2 linked regions of the Nothobranchius furzeri genome follow. The protein of the gene in region 1 purifies or fractionates together with the protein of each later gene. This does not show direct contact. Links are inferred from orthologs where the notes say so. Each region holds a gene or a part of one and is shown on either strand. Other genes may lie near its edges.

Region 1 (8,091 bases):
TCCGGAAGGTTCATCATTTTGTTGTTTTGCAAAATGTCAGGATTGTTCCAGATAGGTGTGCGTCTGCATGGTACTAGTGAAGACTCTGTCATTTTAAGATACTCCCACCATGCTGTCAGAGAGGTGCTTATACTAAGACTTTTGAAGCTTTCATGTTTTCTTATGCTTGAGCTAATAATGTCTGAAAGCTCTATCGTATTGCAAAGTGTCTGTTCTATATCTAACCAGGACTCGTCTAATGGGTTATCTTGCAACCATCTTGGTATATATTGCAGCCTGTTGGCTAAGAAATAATAATAAAAGTTGGGTAAATCCAGTCCTCCTCTGTCTTTGGTCTTCTGAAGCGTTTTTAAGCTAATTCGTGGAGGTTTATCCTGCCAAAGGAATTTAGTAATTGAGGAGTCCAGAGATTTAAACCAGTCAGCTGGAGGTTTGTTTGGGATCATCGAGAATAAGTAATTTATTCTGGGTAAGACCATCATTTTAATTGTAGCAACTCTCCCCATGAGTGATATCGGTAAGGATTTCCATCTTGCAAGATCATCTTCCACTTTCCTTAAAAGTGGGATGTAATTCAGTTTGGTTAGATCTGCTAACTTGGGAGAGATATTAATTCCCAGGTATGTGATATTCCCTGACTCCAATTGTGTATTAAGCAAATTGACAAATGAGAAATTAATTGGTAGAACTGTGGATTTTAACCAGTTTATAGAGTAATCTGAAACTCTGGAAAAAGAGTTTATCAGTTCTATTGCTTGGGAGAGAGAGGATTGAGAATTCTGGAGAAAGAGTAAAACATCATCTGCATAAAGACTGATCTTATGTTCTATTTTCTTACACTTTATCCCTTTAATATCTGTTGTTTGCCTAATTGCTGCTGCTAGTGGTTCAATAAAGATAGCAAATAGTGAGGGGGAGAGTGGGAATCCCTGCCTGGTCCCCCTCTGAAGACAGAAGCTAGCTGATATCTGGTCGTTCGTCCTGACACGTGCTGTTGGTGAACTGTATAATGTTTGTAGCCAGTTTATGAAGAAGTTCCCAAAACCAAATTTATGTAAAGTTGCAAATAAGAACTTCCAGTTAACTCTATCAAAAGCTTTTTCTGCATCTAGAGATAATATACTAGTTTCTATGTTTCTACTGTAAGAGAAATCTATCAAATTAAGTAATCTACGTGAGTTTGTGGATGACTGTCTACCTTTAATGAAACCAGTTTGGTCAGGGTGTATTATGAAGGGAGTTACCTTCTCTAATCTTTTGGCCAGGGCTTTACAAATTATTTTGAGATCAACATTAATAAGAGAAATTGGGCGATAGCTGGTAGGAAATGCCGGGTCTTTGCCTGGTTTTAACAAGAAACTAATATTGGCTGAATTCATGTTTGGCTGTAATCTGCTGCTCTCTTCGATTTCCCTCACCATTCTGAAAAATATTGGAGCCAGAATGATCCAGAATTCTTTGTAGAATTCTACTGGGAACCCGTCTGGACCTGGAGCTTTCCTATTCGTCATGGATTTAAGGGCTTCCTGGAGCTCCGCTGATGTTAGTGGCGAGTCCAGGACTGTAACTTGGCTGTCTGATAATTTAGGAAGTGTTATCCTGTCAAGGAACTCATTGATCTCATTATCTGATGGGTTTATCTGTGGTGAGTACAAAGTTTGGTAAAAGTCTCTGAAGGTGTTGTTTATTCTTTCAGGGTCATATACTATATTCCCGGTTGAGTCTTTAACAGCAGATATGGTAGTTTTCTCTTTATTTATTTTTAATTGGCTAGCTAAGAATTTACCTGATTTATTACTATGTTCAAAGTTTTCTATTCATAGTCTTTGTGCTAAAAATTGTGTCTTTTTGTCAATAATTCCATGAAGTTCTAATTTAGCTTTACGTAATTTGATCATTAACTCTTCTTCTGTGGATGCCTCTAAAGACTTGATGATTTCTTCTAACTCCTGAATACGTTTGTTTTCCGTTTTTTTCTTATGTGATGAGAAAGAGATTATTTTACCTCTCATCACTGCCTTTCCTGCCTCCCAAAGAATAGATGCTGATGTTCCAGGCAGGTCATTATGTTCTAAATATAAACCCCACTCCTTTTTAAAAAATTCTATAAAACCTTCGTCTTTAAGCAGTGATGTATTAAACCTCCAGTTTTTGCTTGGTGGGATTGTCTTTTTATTTACCAGAGTTAAAGAAACTGGAGCATGGTCGCTGACAACTATGGGGTGTATCTCAGTGTCTGAAATGTCAGCCAACAATGAGCTGCTGACTAGAAAATAATCCAAACGTGAATGAGAGTGATGTTTCAGTTTGTGTTTCTGGTTGTGTTTGTGTTTCAGTTTTTAACATGTAGGTTTTATTTGTGTCTGATCCTCTCAGGTTCTGCTCCAGAAGAATTCTGATGGAGCTGGGATTATCCGATTTGACTTTAATTTCACTTTCAAGCTTAAAGCTTAAATGCCTGATAAATAGACTTTTATTTTGAAGGCTGAAAGCTGAATCGTAGTTACAAAATAAAAGGATATCAGGTGTTACACCCATCAGAATCGGATCCTGTGGATGTACAGGAAGTGAATAAATAACATCAGATAATCCCAATCCAAACAGATGAAATGATGGATTTTAATCCAGAGCTAACAGCTGACGCCGGATTCACTTTTATTCACTTCTTCATTTGTTTCCTGCAGAAAAAGCCAGAGAGTTTCTGCACAAAACAGGAAGATTCATTGTGATCGGAGGCATCATCTCACCAGTTCACGACTCCTATGGAAAACCTGTGAGTGCTCTGTGATGTCAGTGATGATGTAATCCACCTGATGGTGGCTCTGTTCTGATGCTCCCTGAAACATGGGCTTTGATTAACTGATGGTTTACAGATGAGATCAGAGGCGAAGAGGAGGAGCTAGCTTTGTGCCTGACCCAGACGTTCCTCTGGGCCGTGCGTTTGGCCTCTCTGTGTTCCAGACTCGGGTTTAGGTTCTGATCCTGCGTCTGCTTCAATAAATCTGAGGTTCTACTTTGTTCTGCAGAACAGAACAAAGAATCACAAATTTACATGTCTGGTCAAACATTTCAGGGAGACTTGAGCTGAAGAAGTTCCATCTGGTCGCCTAAACAGGGTCAGCTCTACAGATTTAGATCTAGAGGAGCAGCAGCTCTTCTGCTAACCAGGAGACCACATGATCCAGATCCTCAGAAACTCTAACCAGGTCTATGGTGTACAGGTCGGCTCCCTCCTCTTCCTCCCAGTTCTTCTCCTCTTCTAAACAAATCCAAAAGTCCGCTGCAGCTGCTCCATCAGAACCTGGAGGACCTGGGTCTGCAGAAGCTGCAGGAGATGTGAAGCCGGTTGGGACTCAGGTCCATGCTGGTTCTGAAGGAGTTAACAAAGCTCTTGTCCTACTTTCCTTCTGCTGCAGAAACTCAACATGAAAAATAAATGCTGCAGAAATCCAGTCAAACTCTTTCAAAATAAAAGCATGTGGTGCTGATCCAGTTTGGGTTGTACTGGTTCTGAAGAACTACCCTTTTAAATCCAGGTGAACTGATTTAGCATCTTTGTGATCCTGTTGAGTTCTGCTCCAGAACCGGTCCAACCAGAACCCGTATTTCTCAGAAACAAATGGAGCCTGTCTGTGTGTGCAGGGCCTGGTGTCCAGCCGACATCGTCTCACCATGTGTCAGCTGGCCGTCCAGTCATCTGATTGGATCAGGTGAGTTGTCTGTCAGTCATTCAGAGTTTCTGTTCCTGTAGAAACAAAAAACAAACATTAAAACTGTTATTTCTGTCCCAGTTTGGGTTGTGTCTACGGTGGCCATGTTGGGACATTCTCATGTCAGACTGAAGATGTCCTCAAATGTACATCGTCCATCTGGCTGATATTAAATTTAGTTTGATTGTCTTTAGTAAATAATTTTGTTTTGAATTTTTGTTTCAGAGTCTGAATCAGATCCCACATCAGATCCTGAGATCTAGACTAAAACCAGAATATTTTTTCAGGCTCTTATTGTGAAACTTCTGCAGGAAGTGACCGAGTTTAACAAAGTCGGAATGAGTGTGGCCTGTCCTGACTGGGTCAGGTCTCTGTGATGGTTCTGGTTGTGTCTCCTACAGAGTGGACCCCTGGGAGTGTTACCAGGACACCTGGCAGACCACCTGCAGCGTGTTGGAGCATCACCGCGACCTCATGAAGGTCAGTCAGGTGACCCGGGTCCGCTCAGGTTGGAGGTTCCGCCTGAGCCAAAGTGCTGAGGCATCAGGTTTAGGGACAAAAATGAACCGAAGAGCAGAAATGGAATATTTTACTTACAGATTTGATTCTGGGACGATTCTTCTGAATGACCTGCGGAAACATGTAAACAGAACCAGTCAGAACTTTGTTCATGGAGAAACCCGCTTGATCCAGTCCAAACGTGTTTCTGTCCCTCAGAGAGTCACCGGCTGCATCCTGTCCAACGTCAACACGCCGTCCACCACTCCTGTGATTGGTCAGCCTCAGAACCAGACTCCGCCCATCTACCAGAACCATAGCACCATCAACAACAAACACACAAACATCACGGCCAGTGAGTCCAACCCGGAGTGACACCATCATGTGTTCATCAGATACATCATGTGCTCATCAGACACATCATGTGTTCATTAGACACATCATGTGTTCATTACATACATTTCTCGTGGGTTAATAAGATGTTTGTTGTGTTTCTCAGTCAAACTTTGGGGGAAAATCGGTGAGAGTTTGGGTAAAATCTGCTGCGTTCGTCCTCAGATGGAACGTTTCACGTTTGTTGGTAAGAAAACGAGTAGAAAATGTTCATAATTATTGCTAAAATGAACCAAATAAGTTTTTGTTTGTTGGTAATGAGACCTTTGAGACTGTATTTACAAACAAAGCTGATGGTTTATTTCAGATGAAAACGCCAACCTGGGCACCGCCATGAGATACGAGGAGATCGGTGAGTCTTCTGACCCGAACGAGTCAGGACTTCCTGCTGCGTGTCATTTCCTTCTGGCTTGTTTGGCTCCAGTAAACTTCTGGTTTACAGCGTAAACATGATGGTTACCGCCATGTTTACTAAGGTAAACGTGATGTTTACTGAGGATGTTTTGTCTCTCTCCTCCTGCCGTGTGTCACCTGTAGAGTTACGCATCCTTCTCCTGTGTGGCAGTGACCTCCTGGAGTCCTTCTGCATCCCTGGCCTCTGGAAGGACAGTGATGTAAGCACAATAAGCCTCACCCACTCTCATGTAGTCCAACCCAACTACATGGAGCCCCGCCCCTTAGATGATCTCTTTATCACATGACTGATGCTTGATGTGGATGTTTTTGCCAAGGACACCTGCCCCAGTTTGAAGAACAAGCTGGAGGTAACGTTCTGGAGTGTTTGTGGTTTCAGATGGAGGTTATTGTTGGAGACTTTGGGATCGTGGTGGTTCCTCGAGACGGAGTCGACACTGAGAGGATCATGAATCACTCGTCAATCCTGCGCAAATACAAGGTGAGATAGGTGTGTGGGGTTTCTATGGAAGCCTGGCGAGCGTCTGACACCTCCAAGTCGTGGGGTGTAATCTACGGTCGTCTCCGCATAGTGTATATAAAGACAGAAAAATGTCCATTGGACAGCACTAGAACCATCAAACGTAGAACGCTGTGATTGGCCAGACACAAAACTGATCAAGCCAGTGGTAGACCAGCTGAGGCTAATGCGACAGGCGTGGCTGAACCGACCTGCAGAGTAAAGTATTTTGATACTGTTACGTTTGTTGCCACGGTAACAACCTGAGTCCAGATTCTTCTGATCACAGACTAGATCAGGAATTTTGCTGAATTAATGTTTAAATGGTAAATGGCCTGTATTTGTATAGAGCATTCTTAGGGTTCTACAACCCCCCAAGGTGCTTTACAGCTAAATCAGTCATCCACACTCTGGTGATGAGCTACATTGTAGCCACAGCTGCCCCGGGCACTGACAGAGACGAGGCTGTCGTACACAGGCGCCACCGGACCCTCCGACCACCTGTAGACAAGGTGGGTTAAGTGTCTTGCCCAAGGGCACAGCGGCAGCATTCTCTGGCGGGAGCCGAGATCAAGCCTGCAACCTTCTGATTACTGGACAGCGCCCTCTACCTTCATCACCACCCTCTCCTTGTTCCGCTCTTATTCCAACTTTCACACGATTCACTGATTTCCCTCTTTCCTACTCACGTTCCCGCTCCCCTTCCTTATTTTGCTTTTCTCCTTTTAAACTTATTTTTAATCATCTTTTAAAATATTTTTTAAACTTTATTTTTGTTCTTGTGAAGCGCCTCGTGGCTTTTATCGTGAGAGGCGGTTTAAACCTCCTGACCTGCGGCTGCCCAACCTTCCACTAAGACCTTTAAGATGTCAGCCTCTGGAGAAGTTAGGACGTTTGAAATCGTTTTTCCCATGGTGCCTTGTGTTTACGCTGCCGTGTGCTTTAGGACAATATCGTCACGGTGAAGGATGCAACAAACCACCCGATGTCCATTGTCAGCTCCACAAAGAGCAGGTGGGATCACTAATCACAGAATTTAGAGGCCATAAACCATTGATGTGATCTGACCTTTAACCCCACCCCCCAGACTGGCTCTGCAGCACGGTGACGGCCACGTCGTGGACTACCTGAGTCAGCCCGTCATTGACTACATCCTTCAGAGCCAGCTGTACATCAACGCCTCTGGATAAACCTGCTACATGAAAACACCCAGAACAAAGATGGTAGGGGGAGGGGCTTCAACAACCATCTACTCTATACCCCCCCCCCCCCCCCCCCCAAAAAAAAGAACTGAAACTTCCTCGTCCGTCTTCAGACTTATACTCTTCTTTGATCTGTGCCTCCTGTCTGTGTCATGTGACCCTACCTTTGTTGGGGTGGGTGGGAGGGGCTTCATGTGTAAACAGGTGCATGGTCAGCAGCAGAGCATGCTCAGGGCTAGGCTGGGCAGAACCTGATCCAGATGTTAGCACATGGATCCTTACCAAGTCTCATAGTTTAAACAGGAGTTTGGTTTCTATCAGGTGACCCGGTTCTGATCCGGTTCTGGATTCATGTTGGATGTTAATTATTATTGTGAGATTTTAACAGAACAGGTTTGTTGGTCAGAAACTTTCACTTTCACTCAAGAACCTGGCCTGAACACACACACACACACACACACACACACACACACACACACACGCACAGATATTCCTCAAATCTCACTTTGTTTTGAACCTGAACTTTATCAGTTTGAGCCTGGTGAGTCATGTTACCATGGCAACATGGGATGGTGATGGTGAGGAGCCAACTGAACTGGACCCTCTGTTTCTCCTCCTGCATGCTTTCTTCTGCTGGTTAGGTTCTGGCATTAATGTTTTCACTCAAGATTATTATGGTCTGTCGTGGACATGTCTGGAAAATTATTATAAATAACATTTAGCTTCAGTGAAGATCGTTTCCACGGCGACACACGTTTGTATTAGCTCTGTAAACGAGCCGATGTCATCTGCTTGTGTTTATCTCCATGTGTGTGTGTGTGTGTGGGGGGGGGGGGGGGTTGATTACACGTAGCTGAACCTGTTTCTGTATTAATCCGCTGTTTCTGTTGCACGAACTTCTGAGTGTGAAATTATTTATTGTGACTTTTGTTTGTGAGATTTTGTCATCACAGCTGTTTACAGATCAGATTTAGATCTGATCAAAGACTTAAAGATGAACAAAACTGACCTGAGATCAGAGCAGCAGAAGGATGTAAGATGACAATAAGCCTGGAAGTGAATCCAGTCTTTAATATTTCTGATCCGATTCTTTATTTCGGATCACCTGCTCCCCCTGCTGGATAAACACAGTAGCTCCTCTAGTGAATCATCACGGTCAGACTGAAACAAATACATTTTATTTGAGTCAGAGGAGTAAAGCAGATTAATTTTATTTTATTTTTCATCTGCAGCAGAACAAAAGCAGATCAGATCATTTGAAAATAAAATTAGCTTTTAAATCTCAAAATTAGACAAGTCCTGAAATATGAAGAAATAAAAATGTAGGAAAGGTTTTTATTTTCAGTCACACATAGAAAACTACATATCTGCTGTT
Region 2 (8,603 bases), on another chromosome or scaffold:
TACACTTTCACTGCATCCATAAATCTCCTTGGTCTTCCTCAAGTCTGGCAGTTCCATCCTCAGCATCTCTCTTCTCTACACACCCAAACCTTCTCTGCCTGGCCGCTGGTCTCATTGTCATGCCTACAACCTCCTGTCACTGGACCACAGCATCACTGGTCCCACTGTCTTAAACACGTTTCTGTTCTTTCTTGCAGAAACACTTATCTCACACTCCAACCTGCTTGAACTCCTTCCCCTCATTTCCACACTCCCCATTAGTCTAGACTCTTGAAACTACGTACTTGACATCCTCCACCTTCTTTAACTCTGATCCTTGCAACCTCTCTCAAGATTGTTCTCCACCTGTTGCAGAAGAGATGTCCAGTGAAATCTTTGGGACAAAACTACGGCTCCTGTTGGGAGCAAAATGTAAATGCTTGTTTTTTTTCTTCATAACTGTGGTAAAGCGCATCAACCAATCCACCAACAAAAAACTCAAACAAAAGCGAACACCAACAGGTGGGGGCGTCCATGTTTAGTAATGCTAATTACATAAATGCACACTACAAGTTACAGAACACAGTAAATGCGACTAATCAGGATTTCCAAAAATGTATCTAATGCTAAGAAGTATTACAAAGGAATTCAGTTTTTGTGTCGTACCAATATAGTATTGTTTTTCCATAACTGAGCAGCCCTGAATGTTAGCATAAAATAAACCAGCAAGAACAATAGTTTCAAACTTAAATCTCACAGAAAGTTAGATACAAGTAAGTTTTCCCTCATCTGAGCAAATAATTTAGTGTGATTAATTTAATAGATGATATTTATATAAAATAGAAGAGTTTCTAATCAGCCTCTGTTAGATTTGAGGGTAAGAAAAACCAAACCAAAGCGGCTGACTAGATTCCACTTCTGCTGGTGCCGTTAGTGACCAGCTGATGCACAAATTAAATGTTACAAAGCTGTTCAGACACACTAACAGACTGGTGTAAAGGCTTTATGAGTGAAGCACACATTCAACACAACATCCTTCTTCTACCAGTGGCACCAAAATGACTTTATTTCCAGGCTTCATAACCATACTGTATCTATAGTACCAGAGATTAAATCACAAATAAATAAGGTTTACTACAGTAGCACAATAGGAAGGACACGTTTAACAGGTTTAGTTGACACCATTACTTGATGGGTTATTTAAAAGGAGGAATACTTCAGTCCACAGTTCATGCAAAAGTCCTCATGTCCTCCTGGTTCTACTATCAAAATGTAACAGGGTACAACCATTTGGCATTAATTCAGTATAATTCAGATATTATAGTTAAACTTGGCTAAACCAGAGTGTTTCCACTCATTCTTACACCAAACAACTTTTGATAACACTCAAAGTTGGATTTTGCCACAGTTTAGAAGTTTTGGCCTCATTCAAGCAGACATAAAGTCTCAGGTCATCATTTAGCACGGTTTTAATTTTATAAAACAAACTGAAGTGTCCACAAATGGGTCGAGCAGCAAACTGTAAAAGTGGACGTTTCCACGGCGATAACAAGTTCATGACATCCAAAGCTTTTCCTGCTTGTTTCCACTGCTGTGAGCTTATGTTCAGCTGCTGGAGAAACACTTCTTTCCATGTCATAATGAAGTTTGAAGAACCTTCTGACCTCCTCAACCATAAACTGTTCAAGTAGGCAGAGGAGTCAGCGGTCCTGCTGCAAAAGGAGGCTTCTCAGGAGCTTATGTGTTTGAGGGCACAGGCCAGTCTGCCCCTAACCATCCAGAGGCTTTCCCAGATAAACCATGGTGACTTCCGTGTTGCCGTACACCGCAGAGACAGCAGGGAACAGGCAGACCTTAGGCAGTCCACGAAATGCTACTCCAAGAAACTCAAAGCCTCTCTCAAAAGCTAGAGTCTTGTCATCCATGTCTAGAATCACCCGTATTCTTTCCCCGATCTGTGGACGAAGATTATACCACATCAGATTACAGATATATTTTAAAAAGAACTAGAACTGTAAAAGTCAAACATCACACCTGATATTTGGGAGCATTGTTGCACTGGGGGAAGTTTCCGTTGACCTCTCCATTATGAAGCAGGTTGTTATCGACCAGGTTCCAGCCCCAGCTCTGGTCATCGCTGCCCAGCAGGGCTACGTAGCCCTGGCACTGCATCGCTGCCCGCTTTGTGGCGATCCCTATCACTGCCACGGTGCCGAGTGGGCCCTCCCACCAGATCTCCCAAGCATGCCGCCCCTCTGTGAAGCCAATTTTGCCTCGTGCACCATCTGTACTCTGAGCGATGGGGTTACGATGCAGAGTGAAGCCATTCTTCTTCACATAAACATTTCTGGAGCAGTCGTGAGAACTCAGGGCATGTTGATAAGACTTGAGCTGCAGGAGGACAGTCAGACACAGCTGTTATAGAAGGGCAAGTGAGACACATAACTGGACTTTCCATGGTCTTATACCATCAGCAGTGTTTAAAATTGTTTATTAACTTTACAATTTTTGTTTGTTTTATTGTCTTCGATGATGCGAACAAATATTTCCCCTTAAAGTTCTTGATTTTGATTTCTTGTCACTTTAAACGTTTCAGATTAACAGAAAGATTTCAATATCAAACAAAGATTAAATGAGTAAACAGAAAAAGTGGTTTTCAAATGATGATTTCATTTATTAGGAGAACTAATATCCAAATCAACCTGGCCTTGCGTAAGAAGGTAATCAAATCCCTTTATTAAATTGTGAATTAACTGGGATTAACTAGATTGTTTGGGAAGCTGAGTTCAGTTTCACTAGACCTGTAGAATAAAGACATCACCTCAATAGAAAGTGTCTGGCAACATGATTTAGGCTAATTGATCTCAAAAAGCACCAAATCATTCCTTTTTATACAGATATTTTACCCTCCCACTGTCCTACTGGGTGACCCCGCCAGGGAAGTTGACCATTGAGCAGGGTTGATGGTTTATCCCTTGGGGTGCATGTGGCAGGGGTGAGGGGTGTCACCCAATAGGACAGTGGGAGGGTTAAAAGAAGAAAACCCAGAGCTAGGTCAAAAGCACAGTAGGGCTCACCTGGTTAGGTTTAAGGTCAGAGGTCAGGATTCAATAATAAACAAGAGATGGAGAAAAAATATCTCACATTTCCTAAAATAACATATTAATGATCTCTAAGACTTCTGGGGACTGTTGAGACAAAAGCTGAGTATTCTGGAAGGTGTGTGTCCCATTACATCTAACGTAAAACCAACAATAACACCTAATCAAACATGGTGGTGGAAGTGTTATGGTCTGGGGCTGCCTTGCTGCTTTAGGACCTAGACCACTTGCTGTAAGTGATGGATCCAAGAGTTCTGCTCTCTACCACAACATTCTGAAGGAAAACATCTGACCTTTGACCTTAAACATGTCATTCATGTTAGGTTTAAAACAATTCAGCAAAGAAGAGTAGAACAGATTTCCTCTACAATGATGCTCATTACCAGTTATCATAATAGATGATTGTAGATTTTGTAGGTTGTTACAACCTGCTAAAATGTTTAAAGGTTAATTACTTTTCTACAGCTTCTCCTCTTATCTTTCTGAGCGCTCCTTTTCTGTGGCCGTCTCCAAGTTTAGGTCCCCCACCACCTCTCTTACCCATGGTGTTCCACAAGGTTCTGTGCTGGGGCCTCTGCTCTTCCTCCTCTATCTGCTTCCTCTTCAGCACCTCCTTCAAAGGAATATCCTACCATCTTTACGCAGATGACATCCAACTGTACATCTCCTTCAAGCCTCATGAGATGTCTAAGCTGGAGCTGTTCCACACCTGCTTAGACTCTATCAAAACCTGGATGGCTGGGAGCTTTCTTCAGCTGAATAAAGATAAGACTGAGATCCTCATCTGTGCCCCAGACAAGCTGGTTCCCAAAGTCAGAGACTCTCTTGGTCAGCTTGCTTCTCACACCAAACCCTCCTTCAGGAATCTTGGTGTGACCTTTGACCCTGCTCTCACCCTGGATTCTCATGTCAGTTCTCTTGTTTGCTCTTCCTTCTTCCATCTCAGGAACATTGCTAAGCTGAGTCCCATTCTGTCTCGCTCTGAACTTGAGACAGTTATCCACACCTTCATCTCCTCACTCTTAGACTACTGTAACTCTCTTTTCACGTGTCTGAGCAGAACCTCCCTGAACCGTCTACAGGTGGTTCAGAATGCCTGTGCTCGGCTTCTGACCAAGTCCTCCAAACACACCCACATCACCCCGCTTCTCCTCCAGCTTCATTGGTTGCCAGTCAACTTCAGGGTTCATTTCAAGATCCTGGTTCTGGTCTATAGGGCCTTACATGGACAAGCACCATCTTACATTGGTGATCTTCTCTGTCCCTACACCCCCAGCAGGTCCCTGAGGTCCAGTGATCAAAGCCTACTGGTTGTGCAGCGCACCAGGCTAAAGACCAAAGGTGACAGATCATTTGCTGCTGTGGCCCCCAGACTCTGGAACTCTCTCCCCCTGAGCCTGAGATCAGTGGACTCGGTGGTCTCCTTTAAAAAGCAGCTGAACACTCACTTGTTCAAGCTGGCTTTTGTATGATCTTCATCACCCTCTTCTTGTTCTGCTCTCCCTACCTATTGCACCTTCCTCAGGATCCACTGATTTCCCTCTTTCCTATTCACTCTCTCTCTTTCTCTACATTTGTAATCACAACTGTCTATCTTTTTTTGCTCATTTTAAATATATTTTTAATAATTTTCTAAATTATTTTCTATATGTTTACATTTTTTGTTTTTGTGAAGCGCCTTGTGACTTTTATTAAGAGGCGCTATAGAAAAGTTATTTTCTTCTTCTACATAGAACCAGGTTGTTCTGGATAGATTTGCCCTTTAAAAAGGGAAATAATCATTTAAGATCAATGTAATATTATTTCTGGTTGTCTTTATCTGATACTTAAATATGGTGGCTGAACGGAAACATTTGAGTGTGACAAAAACTAATTCAGTGGGAAGGGAGGATGCAACAGTAAACAATAACAGTTTGTGCTTGTTCTGAAACAAAGCAAGCCAAGCCAATACACATGTATACACACACACACACACACACACACACACACACAAAATGTAGGTACATTTCTGACCGGAAGTTATCATTAATCACATCCTTCTCCATCCTAAGGACCTTATCACTGGTGAACCTACTTTCCCCTTGTAGGTGGGCAGGTTGCAGAGGACATCAGACCGTAGTGCTTCATCACTCAGACTCCGGTTGCAGAGGCTGCGCCACACCTCGCTGTTCTCGTCTGCTAAGATATTATTCCAGTGCCAGCAGACCAGTGAACACCGCATCAGGTCGGAGAGCTCCAGATAGCAGAAAATGTGCTCCAGCACTCGGGCCGGTAACCTCCCGGCCACTCCCGCGCCTCCACCGGCTGCGGCAGCATAGGAAGAGCCGGCTGAGCTGCAACTGGCCGCCGCTGCTGCGCCCAAACAGGGCGAGCCTCCTCCCAAGGCGGCTGCTGCTGACATTAAACCCCTGCTCCTTACCGACGATGCCAGCCGACCAAATAATCTCACCCTATACAACGTAGGACGAGGTCTAAAATATTTCAAATCGAATCATTTTCGCCGTTAAAGCGCTAACAAGTCGCACTTACTCCAAAACAGTGTGGACCCTAGTCTTCCCAGTTCAATGGCTGAATGGAAACGATGCGTCAAGGTCCTTAAAGAACACATATTTTAGTAACAGCCTTATCTAAAAGCAGACCAACATCACGTGTATATCGTGTTTATTATATCAAATATTTTATAATAATGATACACTAAAATATGTAGGAATTTTCAACTAAAAGAAAAGGATTTTTCAAGTAACTTGTTTTATAAGCCTGTCAGGACCACGGAGCAGCCATGATAATGAACTCACGGGGTCTACTCCTTCCAGTCACCGGCGTATGACCCGACTGGAAACGAAGACCATCGGAGGAGTTTATATTAAATGTTGGAAAAGCCTTAAAATTCTGACAATCTGACAAATAAATGTGAGTATTTTATGTGATTGGCAGCTGACAACATACATGTGTCACAGAGGAATGAAATATCACAAAACGACACGTCTTGTTAATTTACAGTCTATATACAACAGTCGCAGTGTTTTTGTTGTGATAGGTGTACTTTGTACGCCGATGTGGGCGTGCGTCGCAGTAAAGGTGTGCAAGCCCCACCAGCTTAGTGCACCCTTACGTTCACTAGTGTGTAAATGATGTGGAGCTCTGCTACGTGACATCATTGCGAAAATATTTTAGAAAACATTTTGTCAGTTTATAACAACAAACATTGCTAAATATTATAACATTTAAGCACATTTAAAGTAATAAATATATGAGGCTTGTTATTTTCAGCTTAATTTGATTTTAAATTGCATCCAATCTTGTAAATGTTGAGAGAAAAATAGCTCAATTTTAAATTTTTTAAGACAAAAATCGAGCATTCAACGAAGGCAAAAGAAAAATGTTGCGCTATAGAGATCACGTGACTCTACACGGAAGTGACGCTCGGTGCTCAAAAGAGTTCAGCAAAGCATCTGGGAACAAAACACCAGCTAGCTTAATTTTATTTAACGTCTCTGTCGCAGAGAAGAGAAGAAACACGCGATTGAAACGGTGAACTATACGTTTTCTGTGTATTTAAACTAGTGAGACTTGTGAGATGTATGTTATGTTGGGACAGGCGTCACTGCGGAGCACAGCTGGCTGGCTTGTTGCCTGAACCGAGCGGCCTGTTGACAAGCCTGTCCCATCATATGTGGGCCGTCCAGGGACGACGGTTCGGTGACTCTGCGCGGCCACACTGGTTGATGTTCCGGTTAGACTGAATATCTGAGCCGATGTTCGGACACCGGACAGGCTCGACCCGCCGAGCTTCTGCTGCGGCTCCGAATCCTCGAGAGCTATAGCTAGCTAGTGGTGAAGCTTCGGTATGTCACCTGGAAGGTTATCTTCTGATCCGACTGCTCTACTAACCGGTTATAACGCTACCCTAATGGTGCTGATATACATACAATAAACCGGTTCACGAGACAAGAGATAAGCGTCAGTTAATTGCACATTTTCTCCTTTATAGGAAATTATTGTTTTAATTAGTTATGACCTTTTATTCTCAGTTATGTTTATCTAAAATCAGAGCAAGAAGTAGTTTAAATGTCGTCACATGATGAAAGTGTGCCGGTTTAGGTGTTTTATAAAATTGTGTTTTATTTTTTAAAGGTTAAATTATTCAAATGTGCCATGAGAAAGAAAGAGAACAAATATTAACTGTCATCACTACTGTGCACAGTCGTTTGCCTCTTTTTTATGCATTTTGTAACCTCATTAATGTATCTGTTTTAGCATCAAATGTAAATGTGTCCCTTTTCATGGTTTTCCATCCTTCTATTTGAAATGTGATGTAATGAAAGCAGTGTTTTATCATCACCGCCAGGGGCAGCACAGAGACGTCTCTGAGCTGGATGCAAACACTTGTTTCAGCCTCAAAACATCTGGAGTTGTTGCCACCTGAACATATCTAATGATAGAAGTTATATTTCTGTTGCAATGTAGCTTTTGCAACATAAGGGATTACTTGTCTTTTGTATCAATTCAACATTAATAAGTCCTAACAGTAAAGTCCTGTCATAGTCAGTGTATCCCTAGATCTGTACCCCAATCTTTGGGGAAGGAAAAAGGCAATAAAACATATTAAACATTCTAGCAAACGTTGTTTAGGAGCAGATTTGTGGAATTTCGATTAAATCTAAAATATTTTCAGTTCATTTTGCACCACGTTTAAATGAACCTCTGTTTTCTTGATTGCAGCAGCTGTGAGCAGACGGCCACGATGAATCCTGTATACAGCCCTGCACCAACAGGGGTCCCCTTTACCAACACGAAGGGTTTAGGCTATCCAGGTAGTTTTATCTGGTCAAACAAGAGGACAAAGCCACACATGGAGTTCAAAGGATTAATTCTTCTCTATTTGATCCCAACAGCTGGATTCCCTGTTGGCTATGCAGCTGCTGCCCCATCATACAGTCCAGGTGTCTATGCAGGAGCTAACCCTGCCTTTCCCAGCGGTAAGAATGAAACCCACCAGAAATTATAATAAATACATAACAAATGTGTAACTTAAATACTTAAATTTATATCACTTTTTTGTAAAAACAAAACACAAAAAACATATTTTAGACTACATCCATAAGTTGATTTGAGTTCTTGAATTTTGTAAAAAGAAAATACATTTAAAATGTATAGAAATTGCATAAATTTAGATTTTCTGCTCAAAAATTCTCTCTGAACTCATTCAGGTCCTAAACTGAACAAATTAAATACAAATTTAAACATATTCGTAAGTCATGTATTACCACAATTTAATGTTATAATGATGAATACACAGGAGTGAATGTATTGGCTGCTATAATCTTGGATTAGTTTACGTATATTGATAAGTCACCATGGCAGTTTGTCTCAGAGTTATTGTGGTCACTATTTGTGTTTTTGTGTAAAAGTTGTAAATCATTATTTTTGTATTTTAAAGTGTTTACTCATCAACCCCAAACCCAAAGAGCTTCCATCCTGCTAAAGTTTTGTTTCCTGATTTAGCACACAAGAATTAAATAA

The links.
Region 2: the proteins of nmnat2 (region 1) and fbxo45 purify together in Homo sapiens (co-immunoprecipitation; 3 studies listed by BioGRID and IntAct, with this or other methods). This does not show direct contact. The link is inferred for Nothobranchius furzeri from reciprocal best matches to the Homo sapiens genes NMNAT2 and FBXO45.

What each region holds. Positions count from the first base shown.
Region 1 is NC_091751.1:34,804,830-34,812,920, reverse strand, and holds part of nmnat2 (nicotinamide/nicotinic acid mononucleotide adenylyltransferase 2), read left to right. Parts: intron 1-2,684; coding exon 2,685-2,773; intron 2,774-3,642; coding exon 3,643-3,710; intron 3,711-4,111; coding exon 4,112-4,190; intron 4,191-4,427; coding exon 4,428-4,563; intron 4,564-4,707; coding exon 4,708-4,788; intron 4,789-4,908; coding exon 4,909-4,953; intron 4,954-5,138; coding exon 5,139-5,215; intron 5,216-5,394; coding exon 5,395-5,496; intron 5,497-6,460; coding exon 6,461-6,528; intron 6,529-6,601; coding exon 6,602-6,704; 3' UTR 6,705-8,091.
Region 2 is NC_091747.1:41,232,689-41,241,291, reverse strand, and holds fbxo45 (F-box/SPRY domain-containing protein 1), read right to left. Parts: upstream 5,626-8,603; 5' UTR 5,482-5,625; coding exon 5,155-5,481; intron 2,371-5,154; coding exon 2,014-2,370; intron 1,935-2,013; coding exon 1,749-1,934; 3' UTR 1,516-1,748; downstream 1-1,515. Other genes in the region: fam168b (myelin-associated neurite-outgrowth inhibitor), read left to right, coding at 7,825-7,894, 7,976-8,059. UniProt on the Homo sapiens protein: Component of E3 ubiquitin ligase complex consisting of FBXO45, MYCBP2 and SKP1. Functions in substrate recognition but also plays an important role in assembly of the complex.